Linked DNA regions of Kluyveromyces lactis. The protein of the gene in region 1 purifies or fractionates together with the protein of each later gene. This does not show direct contact. Links are inferred from orthologs where the notes say so. Each region holds a gene or a part of one and is shown in the gene's direction. Other genes may lie near its edges.

The links.
Region 2: the proteins of TAF12 (region 1) and TAF13 purify together in Saccharomyces cerevisiae (affinity purification with mass spectrometry; 6 studies listed by BioGRID). This does not show direct contact. The link is inferred for Kluyveromyces lactis from reciprocal best matches to the Saccharomyces cerevisiae genes TAF12 and TAF13.
Region 3: the proteins of TAF12 (region 1) and SGF29 purify together in Saccharomyces cerevisiae (affinity purification with mass spectrometry; 5 studies listed by BioGRID). This does not show direct contact. The link is inferred for Kluyveromyces lactis from reciprocal best matches to the Saccharomyces cerevisiae genes TAF12 and SGF29.
Region 4: the proteins of TAF12 (region 1) and SGF73 purify together in Saccharomyces cerevisiae (affinity purification with mass spectrometry; 8 studies listed by BioGRID, with this or other methods). This does not show direct contact. The link is inferred for Kluyveromyces lactis from reciprocal best matches to the Saccharomyces cerevisiae genes TAF12 and SGF73.
Region 5: the proteins of TAF12 (region 1) and UBP8 purify together in Saccharomyces cerevisiae (affinity purification with mass spectrometry; 10 studies listed by BioGRID, with this or other methods). This does not show direct contact. The link is inferred for Kluyveromyces lactis from reciprocal best matches to the Saccharomyces cerevisiae genes TAF12 and UBP8.
Region 6: the proteins of TAF12 (region 1) and NGG1 purify together in Saccharomyces cerevisiae (affinity purification with mass spectrometry; 7 studies listed by BioGRID, with this or other methods). This does not show direct contact. The link is inferred for Kluyveromyces lactis from reciprocal best matches to the Saccharomyces cerevisiae genes TAF12 and NGG1.
Region 7: the proteins of TAF12 (region 1) and TAF1 purify together in Saccharomyces cerevisiae (affinity purification with mass spectrometry; 16 studies listed by BioGRID, with this or other methods). This does not show direct contact. The link is inferred for Kluyveromyces lactis from reciprocal best matches to the Saccharomyces cerevisiae genes TAF12 and TAF1.

What each region holds. Positions count from the first base shown.
Region 1 is NC_006040.1:1,375,468-1,378,964, forward strand, and holds TAF12 (Taf12p), read left to right. Parts: upstream 1-1,461; coding exon 1,462-2,997; downstream 2,998-3,497. Other genes in the region: APC2 (anaphase promoting complex subunit 2), read right to left, coding at 1-71; NEDD8 ligase DCN1, read left to right, coding at 186-323, 413-1,180; snoRNA-binding rRNA-processing protein DIP2, read left to right, coding at 3,417-3,497. UniProt on the Saccharomyces cerevisiae protein: Functions as a component of both the DNA-binding general transcription initiation factor complex TFIID and the transcription coactivator SAGA complex.
Region 2 is NC_006040.1:863,634-865,842, forward strand, and holds TAF13 (Taf13p), read left to right. Parts: upstream 1-1,229; coding exon 1,230-1,709; downstream 1,710-2,209. Other genes in the region: ARG81 (Arg81p), read right to left, coding at 1-663; ERO1 (ER oxidoreductin), read right to left, coding at 2,047-2,209. UniProt on the Saccharomyces cerevisiae protein: Functions as a component of the DNA-binding general transcription factor complex TFIID. Binding of TFIID to a promoter (with or without TATA element) is the initial step in pre-initiation complex (PIC) formation.
Region 3 is NC_006042.1:1,140,852-1,143,475, forward strand, and holds SGF29 (Sgf29p), read left to right. Parts: upstream 1-1,383; coding exon 1,384-2,124; downstream 2,125-2,624. Other genes in the region: MRP7 (mitochondrial 54S ribosomal protein bL27m), read right to left, coding at 1-754. UniProt on the Saccharomyces cerevisiae protein: Chromatin reader component of the transcription coactivator SAGA complex. SAGA acts as a general cofactor required for essentially all RNA polymerase II transcription.
Region 4 is NC_006038.1:214,243-217,344, reverse strand, and holds SGF73 (deubiquitination module subunit SGF73), read left to right. Parts: upstream 1-1,126; coding exon 1,127-2,602; downstream 2,603-3,102. Other genes in the region: PGC1 (phosphatidylglycerol phospholipase), read left to right, coding at 1-551; ALG2 (GDP-Man:Man(1)GlcNAc(2)-PP-dolichol alpha-1,3-mannosyltransferase), read right to left, coding at 2,719-3,102. UniProt on the Saccharomyces cerevisiae protein: Component of the transcription coactivator SAGA complex. SAGA acts as a general cofactor required for essentially all RNA polymerase II transcription. At the promoters, SAGA is required for transcription pre-initiation complex (PIC) recruitment.
Region 5 is NC_006039.1:603,844-606,898, reverse strand, and holds UBP8 (ubiquitin-specific protease UBP8), read left to right. Parts: upstream 1-1,214; coding exon 1,215-2,555; downstream 2,556-3,055. Other genes in the region: KLLA0_C06996g (alpha/beta hydrolase), read right to left, coding at 1-469; PLP2 (Plp2p), read right to left, coding at 2,717-3,055. UniProt on the Saccharomyces cerevisiae protein: Histone deubiquitinating enzyme component of the transcription coactivator SAGA complex. SAGA acts as a general cofactor required for essentially all RNA polymerase II transcription.
Region 6 is NC_006040.1:1,523,460-1,527,166, forward strand, and holds NGG1 (histone acetyltransferase NGG1), read left to right. Parts: upstream 1-1,290; coding exon 1,291-3,207; downstream 3,208-3,707. Other genes in the region: RSM24 (mitochondrial 37S ribosomal protein mS35), read right to left, coding at 31-942; MAS1 (mitochondrial processing peptidase), read right to left, coding at 3,349-3,707. UniProt on the Saccharomyces cerevisiae protein: Component of the transcription coactivator SAGA complex. SAGA acts as a general cofactor required for essentially all RNA polymerase II transcription. At the promoters, SAGA is required for transcription pre-initiation complex (PIC) recruitment.
Region 7 is NC_006037.1:879,454-883,690, reverse strand, and holds the start of TAF1 (histone acetyltransferase), read left to right. Parts: upstream 1-1,437; coding exon 1,438-4,237. Other genes in the region: RNH70 (Rnh70p), read left to right, coding at 1-224; RTT102 (Rtt102p), read right to left, coding at 420-881. UniProt on the Saccharomyces cerevisiae protein: Functions as a component of the DNA-binding general transcription factor complex TFIID. Binding of TFIID to a promoter (with or without TATA element) is the initial step in pre-initiation complex (PIC) formation.

The sequences.
Region 1 (3,497 bases):
TCTAAATTCGAAGCTAGGTTAAGTAGAATTTTCTCATGAAGTAATTTAAGTTCGTCATCAGTCTTAGTCATTCGGTCAACGGTGCTGGGTCCCTTTAGTCCTGCTTCTCATCACTTTTCACTATGACCATTACGTTTGTTGACATATTTTAAATATACAGACAAGTTCATTTTAAGTGAAATTACATGTTTTACTTCATATTCGTTTCGAGTTTTAGGGTAAAGAAGAAAGCAATCTACTCGCGACAAAACGCCAGAGCAAGCGATCATTTACTCGTGGATAACAACCCTTCAGAAATTTCATCGTATTGTGTTTTTATAATGGTATGTTTTTTACTATGCCTCTACCCTCTGGTCAGGTGAATGACACCTTTACTAACAAATGCTAATCAAATAATCATTTGGAAAAATAGGAGAAAGAGTTCATGAACCTCACAGGATGCACGTACTCTGTTGCACAGGAATACCTTCGAAAGAATGGAGGGCGTGTCGAGTACGCTTTGAACGATTATTATGATAATGTGGATACCATTGGAGGTATGCGTCAATCTTACAATCCCAGTTTAGTGGCTATCTTTGAGAAGTACTCGAATGGCGTTTCGGCAACAGAATGGGACTCTTCTGGGCTAATACGGTTTATTGAAGACCTCGGTATATCGATAGAGGACCCAATCACGCTATGTCTTTCTCAAATGCTATGCATCGACGATTTAACAAAACCAGTATCTCGAGAACAATTCCTAAATGCCTGGTCAGATTTATGTTGCGACACTTTAAGAAAGATGAAAGCCTATTTACATACGCTAGAAGAGAGACTGGAGACGGACAAAGATTATTTCAAATCAATCTATTCCTACACTTTCCCATTGAATACAGACGAGGGATCTCGTCATTTACCTAAAGATGTCGCAATAGAATACTGGAATATTTTCTTTAAAGACAATAAATATGCGTTGAAAATCTCCAAGGAGAGACTTAATTCATGGCTTGAATTCATCAATTCTGACGACTCGGATCCAAGGAAACAGAACATCTCAAACGATATATGGTTGATGTTCTATAAGTTCATTGAACAATACCCCAATGACGAAAGTTTAAAACAAAACTATGATGAAATGGCTGCTTGGCCGCTACTTATAGACGAATATTACGAATTCTTGGAAGAAAATGACAAGCTGTGATGCAGCGCAAACACCTATATCGCTTATGAACATATTCATAGATACATATATTCATATATACGCATTGTGTATGTTGTCAGGGTAACACTTGTCTTCCTATTCCTTTCAGCATCAAAATTCAAAAATATTTCAAAGATCAACAAGTGAATAACAATCGAAAGTAGTTGCCGCGAGGTTAAAGCAAGGGCAAAACGGGGGCAAAGAAGGCCAGCACGAGGGTATTTCGACACTTAAAGTGGGCTTGCGGTGTGCATTTCGGATTACGAACCAAGATACGGACAATGTCAGGCCAAGCAGGTAATGTACAGCTGCAGAACCTCACGCCAGCTTCTATGCAGCAATTGGCGGATAGACTAAAATCGTTAGTTAACGAAGCTAAGCGAATTGGTGTAGATACCAAGGAAGGGAAAGAGCTATTGAGACAAGCGGCCCGTATTAAGGCTTTGTACGAGGCTTACAGTAAACAGAGGCAGCAGCAGGCCCAAGCGCAGGCTGGAGCACAGGGAGCTGTAAATAATAATGCCACGAATGTTAAATCCATGGATCAGCAGCAACAGCAGCAGCAACAGCAGCAGCAACAACAAGCTACCGCCAGTTCCAATAATGTGACGAATAACATAAAGGTCTTATTAACTCCTCAACAGCGTGAAGCTTACAATAGATTGGTTCAAAAGTATGAGGATGACGGTCAGAATATCAAGGGAGAATTCAACTTTTTGAAGAGAAATATTAGTGTTTTGGACCAAGAGATCAGGAATAGACGAGGTAACAGTCTATCGGTGCAGCAATTAGAGGTTAACAGGAATGAATTATTAATGAAAATCAGGGCATTGAGTGCCCAGTATTCGACATTACAACAGAAATATCAAGAGGACAGAAGAAAGTTTTACATTGAGTGTTCTCAAACTAATGCTGACTTAAGAAGATATCTACAAGCACAGCAACAAAAAGCTAATGCTGCTAAGTCACAGGGTACAGTAGCTGCAAATGCAGGTACACCGGGACCTCAGGCTGGTGTTTCTACTCCAGGAACCAACACCGGTACACCAATTCCAACAAGTTTGAATAAAGCTTCGAGTGGTAGTCCTCCAAATGCTATGGCGCAAAGACAAAATATACCAATTCAAAAGACCGCTGCAACTACTGCAACTGCAACAAACGCAAACCCGAGCTCAGCAGCTGCCGCACCAAATAACACAGCTTCTGACAAATCGTCCCCAATGCAGGTGACAACGGTGAATGCAGCTGCAAATCAAACAGCACAAAGCAATACAAGACCACCAATCTTCAAGCAACCAAACCCATCGATACCAATAAGTGAAAATGTCACCGCATCCCCAACAGTTTCAGTGTCATACAGAAGCAACAGACCTACGATAACAGGCGGTAGTGGTATGAACGCGCCAGCGCTAACTACACCTGTTATGACCAAACTACCGCCATATGAGGTCGATACTGAGCGTGTGATGTCTAAAAGAAAGCTCCGTGAACTCGTCAAAACGGTGGGTATAGACGAAGGTGATGGTGAAACCACCATTGATGGTGATGTGGAAGAGCTATTACTCGATCTAGCAGACGATTTCATTACTAATGTTACGAATTTCGCCTGTAAATTGGCAAAACATAGAAAATCCGATTCACTCGACGTAAGAGACATCCAAATGCATCTGGAACGTAATTGGAATATCAGAATCCCAGGGTTTGCCAACGATGAAATCCGTAGCACCAAGAAATGGAATCCAACCCCTTCGTACAATCAAATGGTAAATGCAATCAATAACAATAAAACTGCACGTACACATCCCGAAAAGAAGTGAAATGGATAAATTACCACTGTTTAAACAAGTTCATTCATTCAAACAGACTTAATTTGATGCATATATTATACATCATATATCATATATCTATTAATGTAACAATTCCTCAAAATATTGAAAATGGAGAAGTGGATGAGTACCTACAACAATGCATAATCAAGTCCAGGGAAACTGATTCTTAATACTCTTTGTCCTATTCTGCCTGTCTCATATATGTATAAACCACCCTTTTCTTTTTCATGGCTTCAAGTTGTATTTTTCAAAATTTTCCAAAACGTTAAAAACTATGGAAGGTCATCTCATCTCATCGCATAATGCTGTTCAAGAACAAGTATAACAAAACTTATATACTATAACCCTGTGTAAGATATCAGTTATTGCTACTATTATCCGCAGTGTGGAGTTTAAATTGATACACAATGGTTAAATCGTATCAACGTTTTGAACAAAGTGGTCTTTTTGGGTTAATTTCTACTTCAAATCAGTCGATCTATCTTCCA
Region 2 (2,209 bases), about 510 kb from region 1:
ATTTGAGATCCACTCGTTCCCAGGAAACAACAAAGAATTCATATCGAATTCGAATAGGGAATGAAGCTGCTGCGCAGATGTATGATCATCATTAGCAGATGATGATTCCATATCTTCTGGAGTGCATAAATTTGTGCCCTCTTTCGAATCTGAATCAGCAGTTTTAACCTTATTTTTCTTATTAGCTAGTTTCTTCTGAGCTTTTTCGATGGCATTAATGAAAACTTGATTCTTCTTACGTTTCTTCCGTGGCACGTACCTTTTTTTGACCTTATCTGTGCCTTTGAACACACCAAATTTCTTTATAATCCAAGTCTTGTCTTCAGAGATGAGCTCTAAAGGAGGAGAGCTTAACGCTGATAATTCATCGTCCATATCCTCATAATACACATATTCCTCTTTGTACCGAACGAAATCAACGTTTCTTCTCTGATACTGAGGCTCATCTGGATCTTTGATTCCTGTAGGTGTTGCGGTCACATTACCCATAGTGTCAAACTGAATTGGCCGGGTCCACCGAAGTTTTACATCGTATCCTCCACATATTAACCCACCTTTCTCACATCGCTCACATCCGGGCCGCCGAAGATCACACTTTACTTTCCTTGATCTACATGTCCAGCATCCCGTGAACGTCTTCACTCTGGGCTTCGCAGGCTTCATTCCTGCTTGTATCCTCTTTGACTCACAGTCGCTGTGAAGGAAAAATAGCCTCCAATATTTACCAAACCTTCAATATCAACCACACGCAGATGAGCGTCTAAATGATGCCACTGTTGGAACAATAATATCTACTAAAACCTTATCTTGAGCGGTACTAATCGGTTTATTATCATTGCTCTGTTTATCTGATCCTCAGAAGATGCGATGTGGATCTGTCATGTCCTTTCCTCTGTTCGTCTTTTCTCAAAATTTTCACACAAGCGGAAGGGTTAGGCGATTTGTCAATTTCTTTCTCGCTAAAAAGCTCCCTATATAGCTTAACTGTTGGATGGACTGCGCATGATATTTGGGGACAAAAAAACGCAAGCGATTTTTTGCTGCGAAAAAAAAAAAAGCAAACTCGCACTATTCTTCGCTGTGTTTAAGTTGACAGTTTGACATAAAACTCAGAACCAGAATCAAAATCACGAAACAATGATCAAGCTATACAGTTTAGCTTATAGCGCATTCGTCCATTCCATGGAGTAGAGCTGACTAGTCGGTTGGAGTTCTAGATCAACACAGGAATGTCCAGAAGAATTCGTAAAACAAGTCTTTTCAGTAAAGATGTTGGCTCTTTGATGTATGCGTTTGGTGATGTCGCGCAACCTTTACCAGAGACCATTCAATGTGTAGACGAATTGGTGGTGTCTTATTTGAGCGATATATGTGCCAATGCGTACTACTCGGCTCAAACCGTGAAGAGGAATAAGATTAAAGTGGAAGATTTCAGATTTGTACTTCGAAAGGACGAGGTGAAATTAGGTAGAGCTGAAGAGTTGATTAAGATGAATAAAGTTATTACCGATGCCAGGAAACAATTTGATAATTCAGAGGGGAAATCTTTGAAACGAGTGAAAGATGACGGTGATGATGACCACATTTCGGCTGATGAAGATGAGGAGACGACAACGGTTCCTGAACCCGTTCCTACCTCACGTCCGGTAGGCAGACCAAGGAAAAAGGGAAATGAACCTCCTAAGAAGAAGAAACGGGAAACAAGCTGAGAGTTACATTCGCATTACCCCTAGCATATCTGTACTTGAAATCCTTCTCTTGCTGGGCAAAAGAAGTGAAAAAACAAAGCAATCCTCATATAAATTCTATCATTATAGTATTACGCCTTTCTGAACAAAATGCCATATTTATGCATACTTAGCGGCAACATATACGTTTATTTTTTCTATTAGCTATATATTAACCAAATGAATAGCTTATGAGAGGGTATTATTTGAACATAATCACCTTTATCTTCATAATTGGAATTTTCAGCTGGTTCTCCTGTAGTTCTTAATATCTATAAACAAATTGTCATATAAAATGACAATTTGAGAGGTTTTTAATCTATTCTTCGTAGTTGTAGGATGGATATTCAAGCTCCTCTCCTTCTTCGAGATAGTTTGGAACACCAATAAACTTGTTCCAGAGTTTATTGAGCTTTAGTACAGTGTACTTACTAACAGTGGAAGGTAGGTCCGTATAACTTGTTACGATAAACCGCAACGCT
Region 3 (2,624 bases), on another chromosome or scaffold:
TAAATGACAATGATTCATTCAATTTGGTCGAGACCTGTTTCAACAATGTTAGTTTGTCGTCCAACTTAGATTTTTCTTGGTTTCTCATCTTCAATTTAAGTTCTTGTTCCAAATAGTAGTACGAATTAAATCGGGCATCGGATTCATTGAACCCATTCTTCAAACAAGTTCTCCATCTGAGCAAATATGGTAATGCAAACGCAAGTTCTTGTTGATCCAGCTCAACTTTCAGATCTGAAATTATCTTGCTGTATTCTGCCTTCAACTCTTCACGTTTAATCTCACGTTCTTGCTGTTTCTTGATCAATTCATCCTTCAGCAAATAAATCTTTCTTGGTAAAGCGTTCTCTTCTGCAATGGCTTTCTCTTCATCCTCAATGATGGCCTTGCCGAATCTTCTCAAACGTGGTTCGAAATGCGGCAAAGGAAGCTTTACATCCTTGTATAATGATACACCAATGAATTTCTTACCTGGATGAAATGGATCCAAATAGTATCTCACATAACCCGGCTCCAAAGCGAAAAGCGTATGATCTTTACCGATGCCTACATTTTCACCAGGATAAAACTTGGTACCACGTTGTCTCATGATGATCTCACCAACTTGAGTGGCTTGACCCTCGTATTTTTTTGGACCCAATCTACGACCAGCAGAGTCCTTCATACTGGTACGAGAACCTGCTGCACGCTTGGTTGCAGTACGCACCTGCTGCACCACAAACTTGGGAACTTGTTGCCACGAAGATGAGAACATTATGCGTTGTTTCGTAGGCCTGGTCCGAACAGTATCAAGCAATGTCACAGTAACTGTATTTCTGCGTGTATCTGTACTTAATGTATTTAAGATAGGATTTTAGTGACAAAAATTTTCCACAGTATGGCGGATTGTAAGGTAGGGTAACAACGAAATCCAACAAGATATAGCCCTTCGAAGGTTCGTGTAACTGACTGTTTAAGAGTTGAAAGTATTGATTTATACATTTTACCAATTTCATCTATTGCTGAGAGTTCTTTCGATACCATAGTGAATTTTTCATGCTTGAGAAGGAGTAAACGTCTAATTCACGTCAAAGTTATTCGAAACTGAGGTTCCAATTAAAGATCTACCATCACTATATACGTTTTGATGTTCTCTTCCAGCACGAAAAACTCATATTTCTCTAAGTACAAAACATCAAGAAACCGACACTGCTTGCATCGAAAAGAAGTCTTCACCTTTCAGATTTACGTTTGAATAAACAGGACGTCCATTTATAGAAGTTTCCCAAATTAATTATCGTGCTGGTGAAGCCCATATTATCTAATTGAAATAGGAATACTAAGAACCGACAGCCCATAGATAAAAAAAAAATAAAACAAAATATATCAGTGATTCTAGCGAAAATGGCAACGGAAGATAGATGGGGTCTTGCCGTGACTCAATTACAAGATCTATATAAAATAGGAGATATTGCGGGGTTTGAGTCTTTAGATCCGAAGAATATGAATTTCCAGAATATGAATTTGAATCAATTGGCTGATATCCATGAGAAATTAGAGGCTCGTCAGTCTGTAAATGAAAAGATGAGAAATTACTGCAGAGATTTGGTAGAGAACATTTCATACATATTAGATAATTATCCAGTGGAAGAGGAACCTATATTAAAGGAGGAATCCAGTTCGACGCATATCCCTGAATCGAGTGTTGTTGGTAGATCACATTGGACCAGTCAATTCAACCCAAGTGAACCAATTGAGGTTGGTTCCGAAGTTGCATATAAATCTAAAAAGACTGGCGAATGGATCCAGTGCATATGCACAAAAGTTTCTGGGGACGGACTCCGGTTTGAAGTGAAAGATCCAGAACCCGATGAATTTGGGAAACCAGGTGGTATATTCAAATGTAACTCGAAAGAGATCCTCTTGATCCCGCCCGTGACTATGAAAAGAACCCAGACTCCGAATTATCCAGCGAATACAAAAGTTTTGGCAAGATATCCAGAAACAACGACTTTCTATCCAGCTATTGTTTGCGGAAGCAAAAGAGATGGGACATGTAAGCTACGATTCGACGGTGAAGAGGAAATAGACAAGGAGACTGAGGTGGAAAGAAGATTAGTTCTTCCTTTCCCCTCTAGACGATGAGTTTCTTAATTATATCACGTTCACGAAATGTATGTAATTTTCCATAGCCTGTAACAATAAAGAAAAAAAAATTATGAAAGAACATTAAATAAACCGTATCACATTGAGATAATGTAGGAACTAGTAGCGGTGCCTGTTTGTGATTTATCGCATCAGACGCGACAGACATTAAATACCATAGTTCTAGTTTCTTATTGTCGAATATTTTGTATATGATTCATGGTGTACCTTTTTAACAAAGTGACACTTAAATCAATAACAAAACTGTGTTTTGTGCTATTGTTAGTGAATCTGGTTCTAAAACTGATGAAGGCTCCAATTTTGCCTTTATTATTCCGGATATTAACCACCTGCCCAGCGAACAAAGATGTATGTATCTTTTGGTGGCAGAAGTATTCGATAGTAGAACAATGGGTATGGAGGTTGATTGATTATATTGATTCAGAGAGACTTCAGGTTCCACATGAACAAGTTTAAGTCACCATTTCAAAGTACATCTA
Region 4 (3,102 bases), on another chromosome or scaffold:
GTTTGATGTTCGGATTGTGGCAACTTGATTGGTACAAATACGGGGTCACCACGGCCACACTGAAGGGTTTCAAGATCGTGGCCATCTTACCCTTCACAGCGATGGCTACTAAATTTGTCGAATACTCTAAATCCTTGAGCGATGACAACTACAAGTTGCATGGTGTCAGTCTTCATTTCATTAACTCTTGGAAACCCGATTTCAAGAAAACTGTATTACCATACTTGCAAGAAAACAACCTTGCCGTATACCTTTGGACCGTCAATTCCGAAATTGACATCAAATATATCAGTAGTATGACCATTACCGGGATTATCGTTGATGATCCGGTAGCTTCAGTGTCAATTCGAGATGAGTACATTCGGAAAGCAGTGCCGTTTGTACCGCCAATTTTCAATAGCTCTGAAGGTTTTAGACTATACCTTAGACTTCGGGTATTCGAAGTGGCTGAAAGGATCCTTAGCTCAAGATGGGCCACTGTCCCAGTATTCCATGATATCACCTTGTTGAAAGTAACCGTTTTATTGTTAAGAAGAATCCACTTCATTTAAATGTCATTTCATTTCGTAGACAATCTATATAACACACATACCATAGGAAGTTAATATCCTGAAATATGTTATATTTAGCTTGCAATTCGATTATCGACGGACCAATTGGTGTGTGGGGGATTGACACATTCCATTAAGTCATATCACGTGATTGTAAGAACTTTCAAGTTTCCCTTTCTGAAAGTCGACGATTTCGACAGGAATAACATACCGATGGACAGAAACATTTCATAAGATAATACATGAATTCAGATGCTTGAAAGTATTTAGAGCGGGTGATCCAAAGATTTTAAAAGGCTTTTGAGATAGTTCTAACGTGTTATTTACCTGCCACAAAAGTTACTTTTGTACAATCAATATTGAGGGCTCACTTCATACCAGATTCTTTTTTTTTAACGTGCTATTTTTACCATAGTTAGGCACCAATTTGCATTACCACCGATAGACTCTGGTTTATTTTTGAAAGCTAGGTAAGGACAGTTTGATCATTGTTAGCTTGTCTCAATTCATTCATCATTTCCATCGTAATTCTCCCTATCATTTTTTTTTTACCTGGCTGATTTTGGTACAAGAGCATGTCAAGTGTCAATATAGAGATTAAAGGAATCAGATCAGACATTCAATTAGAAGATTTAGGAAGTAGCAAGAACGGTTGGAAGGAGTTACTGTCTATTGTTAAGAATAACGGGAATAGTTCGGATTTATCATCCACGGATATTCGTTCAAAATACTTGAGCAGGCCGTCAGAAGTTTTATCTGGCGTTTCTAAAGAGGATATCCGTTATAGGAATTGTACAGCTTGCCACCAGCCGGTATTGGTGTCAGCTATTATAGATCATTTAGAGAATCACTGTATTGATAAAATGCCTGTGAAAAAGAATGAGACGCAGGATATCATGTCTTCTCCTGCTAAAAGTAAGGGGAGTAATAAGAGATCCTCGTCGATAGATCCTGAGAATTTCGATTCACCTTCAAAGAAACAGAAATCATCCACTCCTTCTGGATCGACTAGAAAACAAAGGAAGATAAAACAGCGAAACCCGACAGAGCCACATCTGGTTAACTTCGATAAACAGTGTGGTGTACCATTACCTGAAGGTGGTGTTTGCGGTAGATCATTAACATGTAAATCGCACTCAATGGGAGCGAAACGTGCAGTGGAGGGACGGTCACAGCCATTTGACATATTATTAGCTGATTATCAGAAACGCAACCAGTTGAAATCTTCGGCGTCCAAGACTAGAATCCAAAAGGCACAGCAAAATCAGCAGGATCCACAAGTTAAACAAAAGGGGAAAGATAAAAACACTGGGAAAACCAGCAGCAATGAAGTGGTCAATGAGTCATTACCCAAATTGTCCCCTGAAGAAGAGACTACTCTGGTTTTGAACGGTGTTTCACGTTCATACCCACTACCGTTAGAAACTACGGTATTGACTTCTACACGATCAAGAACCAAGTACGTCAGAATGAGAGAAATGTTTGGGTCTGCTTTCAGTATAAAACCAGGCTTTAAGAGCCCTGGAGTTGGTGCGTTCCGCTCAAGGGTCGGTCTTATTGACATTGATAGAACGACTGATTATACGTTCCGTATACGTACGCCTCAACCTATTAACGCATCACCTCAAAACTTGACACCAGAACAGCTTCAAATATTACAGGCCCAACGTTTGAAACAACAACAGCAGCAGCAGCAGCAACAACAGCAACAACAACAGCGGCAACGACAATCTAGTGCTACCGGATCGTTATCTCAAATGCAAATGCAAATTCCACAGTCAGTTCAGGCTGGAAAACCTGCAGGGCAACAACCCATGATGACCCAGGGCATCACCCCTCGGGATATTCAAACTCAACAGCTAATAATGCAACAACAGCAACAGAAACTCCTGCAGAAGAAAAGAATGGAAGACGCCAGTGCTCAACTAGATACGGCTTCTAAGTTGATGCAGCAAACAATAGGCTCACCGGTTAATACTCAAAGTCGAAGCAATTCAAATCAACCTGGTGTTCAATTTGGTGTAAATGGATATGGAGGAAGAGTTAATTAGTGTAATATTTAGAAACTTAATAGCTTGTTAACGTCTGTTTTTCATCTCTTAACTTTGAGGGGTATGTGTATATATTTTGCACAAGTCGTTATAATAAATTAAGATTGGCTTCGCTTTTAAGTTGAATAGTTTAGGTAACAGAAAACGATGATCCAGTACACAGTGGCCTTTACACTTCTTAATACAAAATAAGAAATCGCAGCTAGCAATAAATATGGCCAAGAAGCATCGCCTGTTATCAACAGTGTAGCATATTGGACAGTGAACATCAGTAGCCCTGGAGCTAATGTGCTCCATAAACGCGTTCCTCTTGACTTCCAAATAATATGGTCGATGGTATTATCAAAGTTTTTGGACATCGCTTCTCTGGAGAAATAGTACTTAATACGTTTAGGACCGTTAACTTCGAATAAGGAGTGATTCTTTTCAAATATGTCTACGGATTGATCCAACACTTTTGACCATTCATCAGCATCGGATGGTCGTAACCAACCAGTTGC
Region 5 (3,055 bases), on another chromosome or scaffold:
TAGGATGTTGGATGTACTGCTCTTGATAAATCTCAGGTCTGAACCTAAATCCGGAGAATGCAATGAAAAATTTAATAGCAGGCTGTTGTTCCTCCGTGAGGCCTAAAAGGTTATTGAAATCCGTCATCAAATATCCAGTGACACCTGCACCTTGACTAAACCCACAGATACCATCAAATGGTCCATTTTCGACAACGTACTCTTTCAAGAATTTCAAAGTCACGTCGGGCAATCTGTACTCCCCATGCAACGGATCCGGTTGAAGCCACGCGTGATAGTCATCCCCAGAAGCAGCGCCGATATCTGCAACATCGCTAGGAAGATCTGCTGGTGATAAATTAATTGGTGCTGTAGGGTAGAAGAACTCATATCCAAGTGGTTCTAAGACCCGACGAAAACCTTTCGTTTTCGATTCAAAATAAGGACCAGACTGGGCAAGCCCATGCAACATCAATACTTTCTTAGACATTTTTTAAAAACCCTAGAACTGTTTATCTACCTCACAGCCTGAAGCGGTGTTAAATCCAAATCCACTAATAATAGAAACCGGACATAAATACCTACCCATATACTACTCCCCTTCAGAATACTGGAACAGAATTGGAAAACGTTGATGAACTTTTTTTTTTTTTAAATTTTCCTTGCGATGAGCTCCCTCTCCCTCTCTCTCTTTCTCTGCGAATCGGATTATCTCCTAGAAATCTTCGTACGCAGCTGGTTTTTCCAGGTACCTCTCGAGAGAAAGAGTACAAAATGACTACATAAGGATGACTACGGGATACATGCTAATTTTGATACTCATAAAAAATAAAACTAATAATATATAAGAGATCCTGTAGACACCTCCACTCATTTGCCTGTATGGTTACAAACACCCCGGCTGATAGTAGTCTGTATATGACCACACTGAGCTCCCACAAGTATATACTATCTACCGTTTACTTATGTATCATTTCTTCCTTTTATTTTTCGCTTTTTCATTTTTTTGCTTGATTCTGGATCAAGTTTTTTCTGTTTAACTTTTCATTATATGAAATTCGCACTCTAACAGATGATGATCTAGTAATCAGATTCAGTTACAATTTTTGGGGAAACGGAGCAAAGTCTTTGTGCCTTAGTCATCCTCTAGCTCGAGCAGGGAACTTCAGCTAGATATTTTTCTGAAATTTCTCAGTGCTCGTGCGTGTGCTTGGCCAAAATTTTTTTTATTAGTTATGGTTTGTCCGCATATGAATCAAGTGGTTTCTAACCAAAAGCTTGGTGACGCAGTGTTGAAAGAATGCGAAACGGTACGATATCTGCTTCGCCACGCAGACTTCAAGAATAGAACTATGAGAACCATGAGATGTATGGATTGTGGTGAAATTAGCTGTGGATCGACTTTCATTTGCTTGCAATGCGGATTTTGCGGGTGCTGGAATAACAACCATTTCTTGGATCATTCTCAAAAATTGGGACACATCTTTGGGGTTAATTCATCAAATGGTCTAGTGTTCTGTTTCAGATGTGGTGATTTCATGGCTGATCTGGTCGCTGAAATTCCGGCTAGCCAATGGGATACTGTAATGGAAAAGACCGAGCTACCAGCTAGCTTACACAGAGATGGATTACAAGGTTTGGTGAACATGGGATCCACCTGTTTCATGAGTAGTATCATTCAAACCATCATACATAATCCATACTTTGTCGAGGACCTGTTATCTCATAAGCATTGCAACAATTGTGACATTAAATCAGGAACCAAGTGCGTCTCTTGTGCATTGGATGAAATTGCTTGTGACTTTTACGGGAATGGACCTGGGACAGGGAAGTCTTCCTCCGTTAGCAAAGGCTTTGTAAACCTTTTATCTGCATCATGGCATATCAATCATCATCTTGTTGGCTCGTCACAACAGGATGCACATGAGTACTGGCAGTTCTTATTGAACCAACTGCATACGGATCATGCACGAGTATTCGGATCGTCAAAGGCCCCTGATTGTCAATGTATCACGCATCGAATCTTCCAAGGATATCTTAAAAACACTTTACAGTGTTCTCAGTGTGGATTCTCAAAGACCACAATAGATCCAATCATGGACCTTTCCTTAGAGATCAAAAATAACCCTAAATTAGAAGATTGCTTAGATCACTTCCAAAGAGAGGAAACATTAACCGATTTTCACTACGAATGCCAAAGCTGTAAACAGAACCAGGGTGTGGTGAAACAGTTAACGTTGCATAAGGCTCCTAACGTATTAGTTATACAGTTGAAAAGATTCGAACATCAACTCAACGGTCAAAGCGCAAAATTAAATGATAGAGTACAGTTTCCATTGCATTTAAATCTAAAACCCCATTTATTCCAGATTGAAGATGAATATATTCCTAATATTGCATATGATCTACTAAATGTAGTCTCCCATCAGGGGACGGTTGATCAAGGTCATTATACCACGGTGAGTAAAACTGAAGATGGACAATGGTTTAAATTCAATGATTCTGTTGTCACTTCAGTAACGGAAGAGCAAGTATTGGAACAACAAGCATATCTACTTTTCTACATTATTCGTTGAATATGTTAAAAGAAGAAAAACTCCTAAATTGGTTTACTAGGTGGCTTCCGTATATATATGTCAGAAAAGAAACCCAAATAACATCACACCAATCGACGTGTTATTATTGCCTTTATATCTTTTTTTTCAATATACAGACCCATATATATATAGTATTCTATCTAATCGAAGAAATCATCATCATCATCATCATCTGCACCGTTGCGGCCATTTCTACCAACACCAACATTAAATTTGCCTTTGATACCTGATCTTATACTGTTATGACCGTATCTCTGTTTCTTTTCTTGTTTAGTATAATCATCTTCGTGGTTCATTAGCAATCTACCATCTTTCTCGTCTACTGCACCAATATCAACCATAAGTCTTTCAAAATCTTCCAATTTAGTATCTTTTCCACCAAGTTCGAGTAGTGTAACCAAATGTTTTACGACATCACCTTTGTAATAAACAATCAAAGTCGGACAGTTGTTATCTGGATAATTCTCTATTGCTCTATT
Region 6 (3,707 bases), about 150 kb from region 1:
CAGTTGTTTTTGTGTGTTTTAAAAGGTTGATCAAAGCTGTTTGTGTAATAGCTCAACAAGATCCACTGTTTTCCTTGGAGCATCTTGTGGACGTTTCCACTCTTCTGGGAACTCGTACCCACGCTTTTTCTTACGCAATTGTCTTGCGATGATATGTCTTTTATCGAGAGGAACATCAGCAAAGTCGTCTTTCAAATCTTTAGCCTCCTTGAGTAATTCTAGAAGAATGCTGTTTAAGTACTTTGCATTTTGAGCTGGTTCTTCATAGCGATCAGAAGACATTCTCAAAGTATCTGTAGTAGAATCATAACGTGTTTTTGCCAATAGACGCAGCTTATGCAGTTCCCTCTGTTCCAAGCCGAGATCCGATGTCTTCACAGATAAGACAACCTTACGAGAATTTGGATGTTCTTCACCAAGATATGTTGTATAACGATAAGCTACTGGATGAGTCTTTGTTGAAGGGCGTTTATATTCTTGACGATACTGCGCAAGTAAAGGAAGTTCAAATGCTGCCAAACGATTGTAGAAACGTTGTTCACGATGTTGATGAACTAAAATTTGTGATTGTGATGGCAAATCATCAAACTGATATTGATCCAAGTTGACATGCTCGTCTAGACCTCTTGCAATGCCCATTTCTGCCTCAACTTCTTCAGGTGTCTTATGATAGTACTCTTTGAAAAGTTTTGCTGGAATTCCAGACGCTTCGGCAGTGGGTAACAATGCTTTCAACTCTTCTTCGCAAGGCTTATATAGGGGCCCTAGTCTTGCCTTTCTTTCATTGTGCAACGTTATGATATCTTTACTATCCAAACCGATCCATTTCGATGGATCCTTGTAAAGTGTTGAGGAAATGGTCGCAACTTCTTTCGTAACGGTGGAGTTTAAACGTCTACTACAAAAGAATGCAGTACGTTGCACGCTAGCACCAGTAATCATTGTTGAGTGCCTAAGATGATTACGTTATCGCAGACCTTTTAACACTTTGAATATAATTGGCTTTCTCTGGTTCCGATTGGTGTTGTATCGAGGATTATTGGTATTTCTGGTAAACTTGGAAAATTTTTTGCAGAGAAAAGGCGGAGGTCACGTGATAATAAATTTTCTATGAAAATATCTGTCAAAGTAACGGAAGATAAACAACGAAGCAACAAACAGAACAAAGTCATTAATATTGCCAAAGCTGGAAAGCAGCCTATCTTTTAACGATAGTCAACAGTGGACAAAGGTGGAATCAAGTAGATTGCTAAACCAGATCTTCACTCAGTAAAACACCACTGGTATATTATGTCAAGGAATACGCGAAGAGGCAAAGGAATAAGAGAGCAGAAAAGAGATGACGCTGGGCTACATGAACCGTCGAATATTCTAAATTCGATGCTGAAGTCTTTAGACTTGACTTTTGAGAATGACATAGGTTTACTGAACGGTAAATACGTGAGGTCGGTTCCTGAGAAACCGGTTTTGCAAACAACTAAAGATCAACTAGAAAATCTAGGAAAATGTTTGGAGAAAATTGCAGCTAGTGATCAAGAGAATTTAGACCTAATCAAGGAAATGCGGGAAGATATAATAAGGCTCGAAGATGAGAAACAAAAAGAGAAGGAGGAAGCAGAAGCTGCAACAAACCTTGCAGCCCAGAACGCAGAAAATGATTCAATTAATAAAAAACTTGATGAATCTAGCGAAGTCGTATCGGATAAAAGATCAATTACAGAAGAGAACGAGGAGACAGACAAAAGGCCACAAGATACTATTGAAGAAGCGGAAGTTTTATCATCAGATGGTCACATATCAAAGAAAGCAAAGCTAGATATTGATAAAATGGAAAATGATCCTAACATTAGAAACCCCAAGTCTGAATTTGTAGTATCTCAAACGTTACCTGCTGCTGCAATGAGATTAGGTTTGTTTCAAGAGGAGGGTCTTGAAGCTACTGGTGAGGAATATTTGAAAAAGAAATACGGGGTAGTAAGCTATCCTACAAATGACTTAAAGGAACTTCTACCCGGTGAGCTGCCTGATATGGATTTCTCGAAACCTAAACCCACAAACCAAATTCAGTTTAATACTTTTCTCTCATCCATCGAGGCCTTTTACAGAGAATTCAATGATGACGATATCAAATTCCTTCAAAACAAATTCATCATGCCACAAAATTTGCAGTTTGTGAAATCTTATGACCCCGAAGTGACTCCATACACAATTCCTAAATTAGGACCACTATACACAGACGTGTGGTTGAAAGAAGACAATAATCAAAACATTGCGAATCTGACTCCTCCACCTATCAGTGATCCTATTAGTATCTTGCCTAAGAAATCAGGGAATGACATTTCGGATGGTGTACTTGACAATGAAGAAGTGTCTTGTGGCCCGCTAGTCTCAAGGCTTTTGAGTGCTATACTGAAGGATGATGATATTATAGCTCCTAAGGAAGAATTACCGACAAACCCCACACTCGATTCATCAGTATCAACACCAGTAAGTGAGCTTGAACATGTTACCCCATCATCCTCCTCGTCATACGGGATATTCAAACAACATGGAGCGATTGCAAACAATTCCAATATTGATTATGTTTCTTTTGAGGAACGCTTGAAAAGGGAATTAAAGTATGTTGGTATATATATGAATCTACCGAGAGAAGAAGGAAAAACACGTGAAGACCCGGATTGGTTGACCGGAAGGGAAGATGATGAGATTAGTGCTGAACTAAGAGAGCTGCAGAGTACACTACGTCAAGTGACTACTAAGAATACCAAAAGAAAGGCAATGCTTCTACCGTTATTGGAGAGGATGCTCGCATGGCAAGAGTACTGTACCATATTGGACAATCTTGATAAGCAAGTTGACCAAGCATATATCAAACGTATTCGTGCGCCGAAAAATAAGAAAAAGAGGCAATATACACCTGGGCCGGATTCATTAGCAACCGGATCAACATCTCAGGCAGCTATTCAGGCAGCTCACCAACAAGCCGCTAACTCGAGTCTAAAATCTTTGTTGGATAAGAGACAAAGATGGATAAGCAAGATTGGTCCTTTGTTTGACAAACCGGAAGTCATGAAGCGTATTCCAAGAGATAGCGTATTCAAGGATATAGACCAAGATGAGGAAGAAGAAGAAGCAGATGTGTTCAGCAATAATGCCAACGGGAAGGAAGAAGAATTAAATGAAACTCTACAAAATAAAGAAGAATAAATTGAAATAACTGACAGACTGGCGTCAAGCTGGTTTTTGGTGCTAGCTAGTGGAATTAGACCCTTTATTATATAGAATACGTGGAATAAATGTACCTGTCTATATTTGATGCAATTATGATTTATGATATTTACTTGTTACTTAGTTATTCATATTAGTCTGAATGTATGATAAAGATGGAACCGTTTTGACATTACCTAGAGCAACCATAGAGACAGGTTTATTGAGCAGCCTATAATTTGCCCACATTATAATGTCCTGCTTTGTGATTTTATTAACTTGTTCGAAAACCTCCTCTGGTGATAACCTTTTACCAGTCGTTACTACTTGTCTTCCAATATCTTCAGCTATTGCAGTCGATCCATCTAGAGAAAGAAGTAGAGAGGCTTTTAATCTTGCTTTCGCTCTGTTTACCTCATCGTCCGAGATACGTCCGGACCGAATTCTTTTCCACTCTTTTAAAATTTCGTCAATGATTAACTTTATATCGTGTTGTTGAG
Region 7 (4,237 bases), on another chromosome or scaffold:
ATGAAAATCTACCTTCATCAGCTATGCTACTAATCTGTTCAGGTACTGGTGATACAAGAGAATGGATCAAAATAATGAGTGAGTTGAACAAACTTGATAAGGAAGACCGTGCAGTGGAAAAATCCAAACGTGAAGCAGAAATACAGGCTTCGATTAAAACCGCTCGCGATGCCATCTCATTTATGACTATCAAAACCAACAACGTGAATAATGAAAGCCAATAGTTTTATATAGTAATGTCTCAAACGCACACATACGTCCTATGTGGAGAACAAAAGCGGTGATGGTTTTTCCTGCTTGCCCTCCTTTGGATGAAGGACTGTCTTTATCTTATTCGAGAGTGGGCGTCCAGGCCACATTCTGGATTCCATGAATCGTAGTAAAATTACAGTATATAGGTGTAATCGTTATATAATGAATCATTCCATCTTTACGTCGCCTTCTTGGTCTTTTACCTCTGCCGGTGTATCTTCAGCCGGAGTTTCTTCCGCTGGAGTTTCAACCACAGGAGTTTCAACAGCAGCTTCACTCTCGGCTTCTTTCTTAGCATCCGATCCTGAGAACCCAGGAATGTCAGAACCACCAACAGCTCCTCTTATATCGTTAATTGAGAGTGAATCTGGGCCACTTTTCTCCTGGACACGAGCATTTTTCTTAGCTATCTTCGTCCTATCAAATTCATCTAAGTTAAGAACATCTGTATCATCCTCAACTACATCTCTCAAAGGATGATCTTTTTTTACCCATTGCTTGAACTTATATTTTACCTTCTCATCAGTACCATTTTCATTTTGTTTAGCAGTAGTGGACCATTCGTATTCCCAATGCTTTGCATCGGTCGTGAAACCTCCAAGACGATTTGCCCTACTTATCAAAGACATTCTCACTTTCTGTTAAGTATATGGCTCAGTGTGTAAATTTGCTGAAATAATTGGCCGAGTTAGTCGATCTAACACCTAAAAGATTGTCGCATTGTACCTTTAGATCTCTGCTCGCACTGTTAAGCTTTAAGCTCTTGATGTTTGGCTTTAATTTCATGTTGGCAGAATTATCAACAAAAATTGACCTTAAATGGGATAAAATGGTCGATTAATAGGTCAGCGAACCACTTATTGAAACGAAAAGCCAGTAAATGAGATGAGTGCATGCTACACATTGCATATAACCTTGTTAATTCGAGTGAAGTGGCCAATCTGGGCCATGATAGTGGTTTATGTTACATGGATTGCACTGAAATTACGTTACCCGGTCTCTGGATTGATCCCTCAATATCAAAATCTAAACAAAGTTGAAGAGCTGATATGTACATTTCAGTAAAGAGTGCTCGAAGTCATAAAAAGGGTGGTTAAATAGGTTCATTCAACTCTGTGAGCCAATATTTCTGTCAATAACAGAATTCTAATCTGATTCCAGTCATAATACACCCATTTTTGCGAAATGCCTAGGGTTGCTGGAAGCTCAGGAAGCAAGAAACAAGGCAAGGCAAAGAAGGATTTCAGCAATGAAGATGATGCGTATAACGCTCTATTTGGTGGTGAGTTTGGGGCATTAGATATTAGTAATTATACTAGTGGTGGCGGCAATGGTAAGCAAGATGAAACAGAGCATCTGCCGAATGCTATTGATTTTGAAGATGAAGATGAATTGGCAGATGAAGAATTACCGGAGGAAGAAGAGCCATCCCATTCTCCGAACAGGCATAATGAAGGGTCGTTTCAGCGGAGTCTGACTGAAGACGACGAATATATGACTCTGATGGACCATGGTGATGTGATGCATGAAGTTGACGCTGCTGGATTTGAAGTACAAGGTAATAATGCATTGTTCATGGAGAGCACATATCAGTCATTTGGTCCAGAACAACACCAATTTAACGAATATGATGAGCAACACAGGAGGTTAATGGAGGAACAGCGAAGGAAACAAGAGGAACAAAATGCGAAGGAAGAACAGTTATTATTTCAGTCTTATTTCCCTGAGCTAAAGCCGGGTAGAGTCCTAAGAATGACCAAGATAGCTCCAAAACCGTTGGCGAAGTATCAATGGCAAAGGGAGTTATACCTTCGAAACAGAATTTTAAAACCTCTCATACCCATTAAAGTGAAGTTTCAAGTTCAAAAGGATACAAAAAAATTGTTCAAGATGAGGAGTAAAAGCGTAAAGCCTTGGCAAAGTGCTATAAGCGAGTTCTCTGAAGTTCAACGAAGAAATGTTATCAAAGTAGCATACGATGAGATATATAAAGAAGATACTGTAGATGACAAGAAAGATGAGCACGATGAAGTGATACCGGAAGATCTTCTCATTGTAGCTGATGAATGGGATTATGAGAAAATTGTTGACGATAGAGAAAATGAGGAGCCAATGACGAGTAACAAGAGGAATCCGCCAGCAGTTGAGAACACTTTAGAAGAAGATGGGAAAGACTGGGAATGGAACGAAGATGATATCATAAATGGTAAGGTGAGTGCTAAAGAACCGCCAATTGATATGAATGATGAGCGATTACTTATTTTGCCTAATGAGAATAAAATCGAATCGGCACAAAAGGTCGTTAAACCTCTAATACCATATAATGAGAAATCTCTACTAGCAAAGTTCAACATCTCTAACGATGACACTTACAAGATTTTGAAAAAGAACTATCAAAAAAAGATCAGATCTACAATTTCGAATTTGAATATAGAACATTCTCAACCGGCGACGCGCCTACAATCTCCATTCTACAAAGTTGTGTTACCAAAAGATCAGTTGAGACACTTTCATAGAAATCATTTCGGGAAACGGATTCGTCCTGGTACCAACATAGTGTTCAGTAAGATAAAGACCCGTAAGAGAAAGAAGGATAAAGGTAAGGATGTGCACGAAATTTTCCAACATTCTGCGGACTTGACTGTTGGTGACAGTGCTCAAGTGTTCCTGATGGAATACAGTGAACAGCAACCTGTTGCGTTATCTAAATTTGGTATGGCTAACAAGCTTATCAATTATTATAGAAAGACGGGAGAAACAGACAGCTCCAGACCAAAATTACCCGTTGGTGAGACTCATGTATTAGGTGTGCAGGATAAATCACCATTTTGGAATTTTGGTTTCGTCAGTCCAGGAAACATTGTTCCCACTTTATATAACAATATGGTCAGAGCCCCCGTTTTCAAACATGAGGTCTCTAAGACCGATTTCCTTCTGGTGAAAAGTCTTGGTAATGGGTCCGGTAACAGATTCTATTTGCGTCAAATTAATCATCTCTTTGCTGTCGGTCAAACGTTCCCAGTGGTCGAAGTTCCTGGTCCGAATTCTAGAAAGGTTACTGCTATGGGTAAGAACCGTTTGAGGATGGTTGTGTATCGTATTTTGAACAAATCTCCGGAAAACAGACTGTTAGTGAAACAGGTGGCTCGTCATTTCCCAGAACAAAATGATATGCAAAACAGACAAAGATTAAAGGAATTCATGAAGTATCAACGTGAAGGTGATGATCAAGGTTTCTGGAAACTAAAGGAGGGAGAAGTTTTACTGGATAACGAAAACGTGAAGAAAATGGTTACTCCTGAAGATGTTTCACTCGTTGAATCCATGTATTATGGTCAACAGTTCCAGGAAGATATTGATTTCTACAACTTCGATGAAAGAGCTAAGGAGTTGGAGGAGAACTTAATATTTTGGAATGCTACCAAGAATTTCTTGAATGCTACACAGATGAGAGCAATGATTCAAATACATGGACCTGGTGATCCTACTGGTTGTGGTGAAGGTTTTTCGTTTTTGAAAACCTCTATGAAGGGTGGGTTTGTAAAATCCGGTTCAAAGGATCAACCGCAAATTGCTGGTGGTCATAGTTACAATGTCGCGCAACAACAGAAAGCATATGAAGAAGAAATAAGTAGGACGTGGTATAACCAAGCCAAGTCTTTAAGCATTCAAAATCCCTTTGAAGAAATGGATGATCCAGATATCGTTAATGAAAGTAATAAGCATGTTCCCTCGACAAGACCTGACGAGAAAGTGTTACGGATTACTAGAAAGAAGAGAGATTCCAACGGTATCATTCAACGACAAACTGTTATAGTCAGAGACCCTAGGGTCATTCAAGGTTACTTACGTGCGTATGAAAAGAGGCGTGAAGAGGCGGAGCGTAATTTGGGTCTTGATGAATTGATCAACGATAACATAACCATTGTTGGCGGTGAGAACGAAGAGGAAAGGCAATTGAAGCAAAAGAAACTATTGGAAGAAC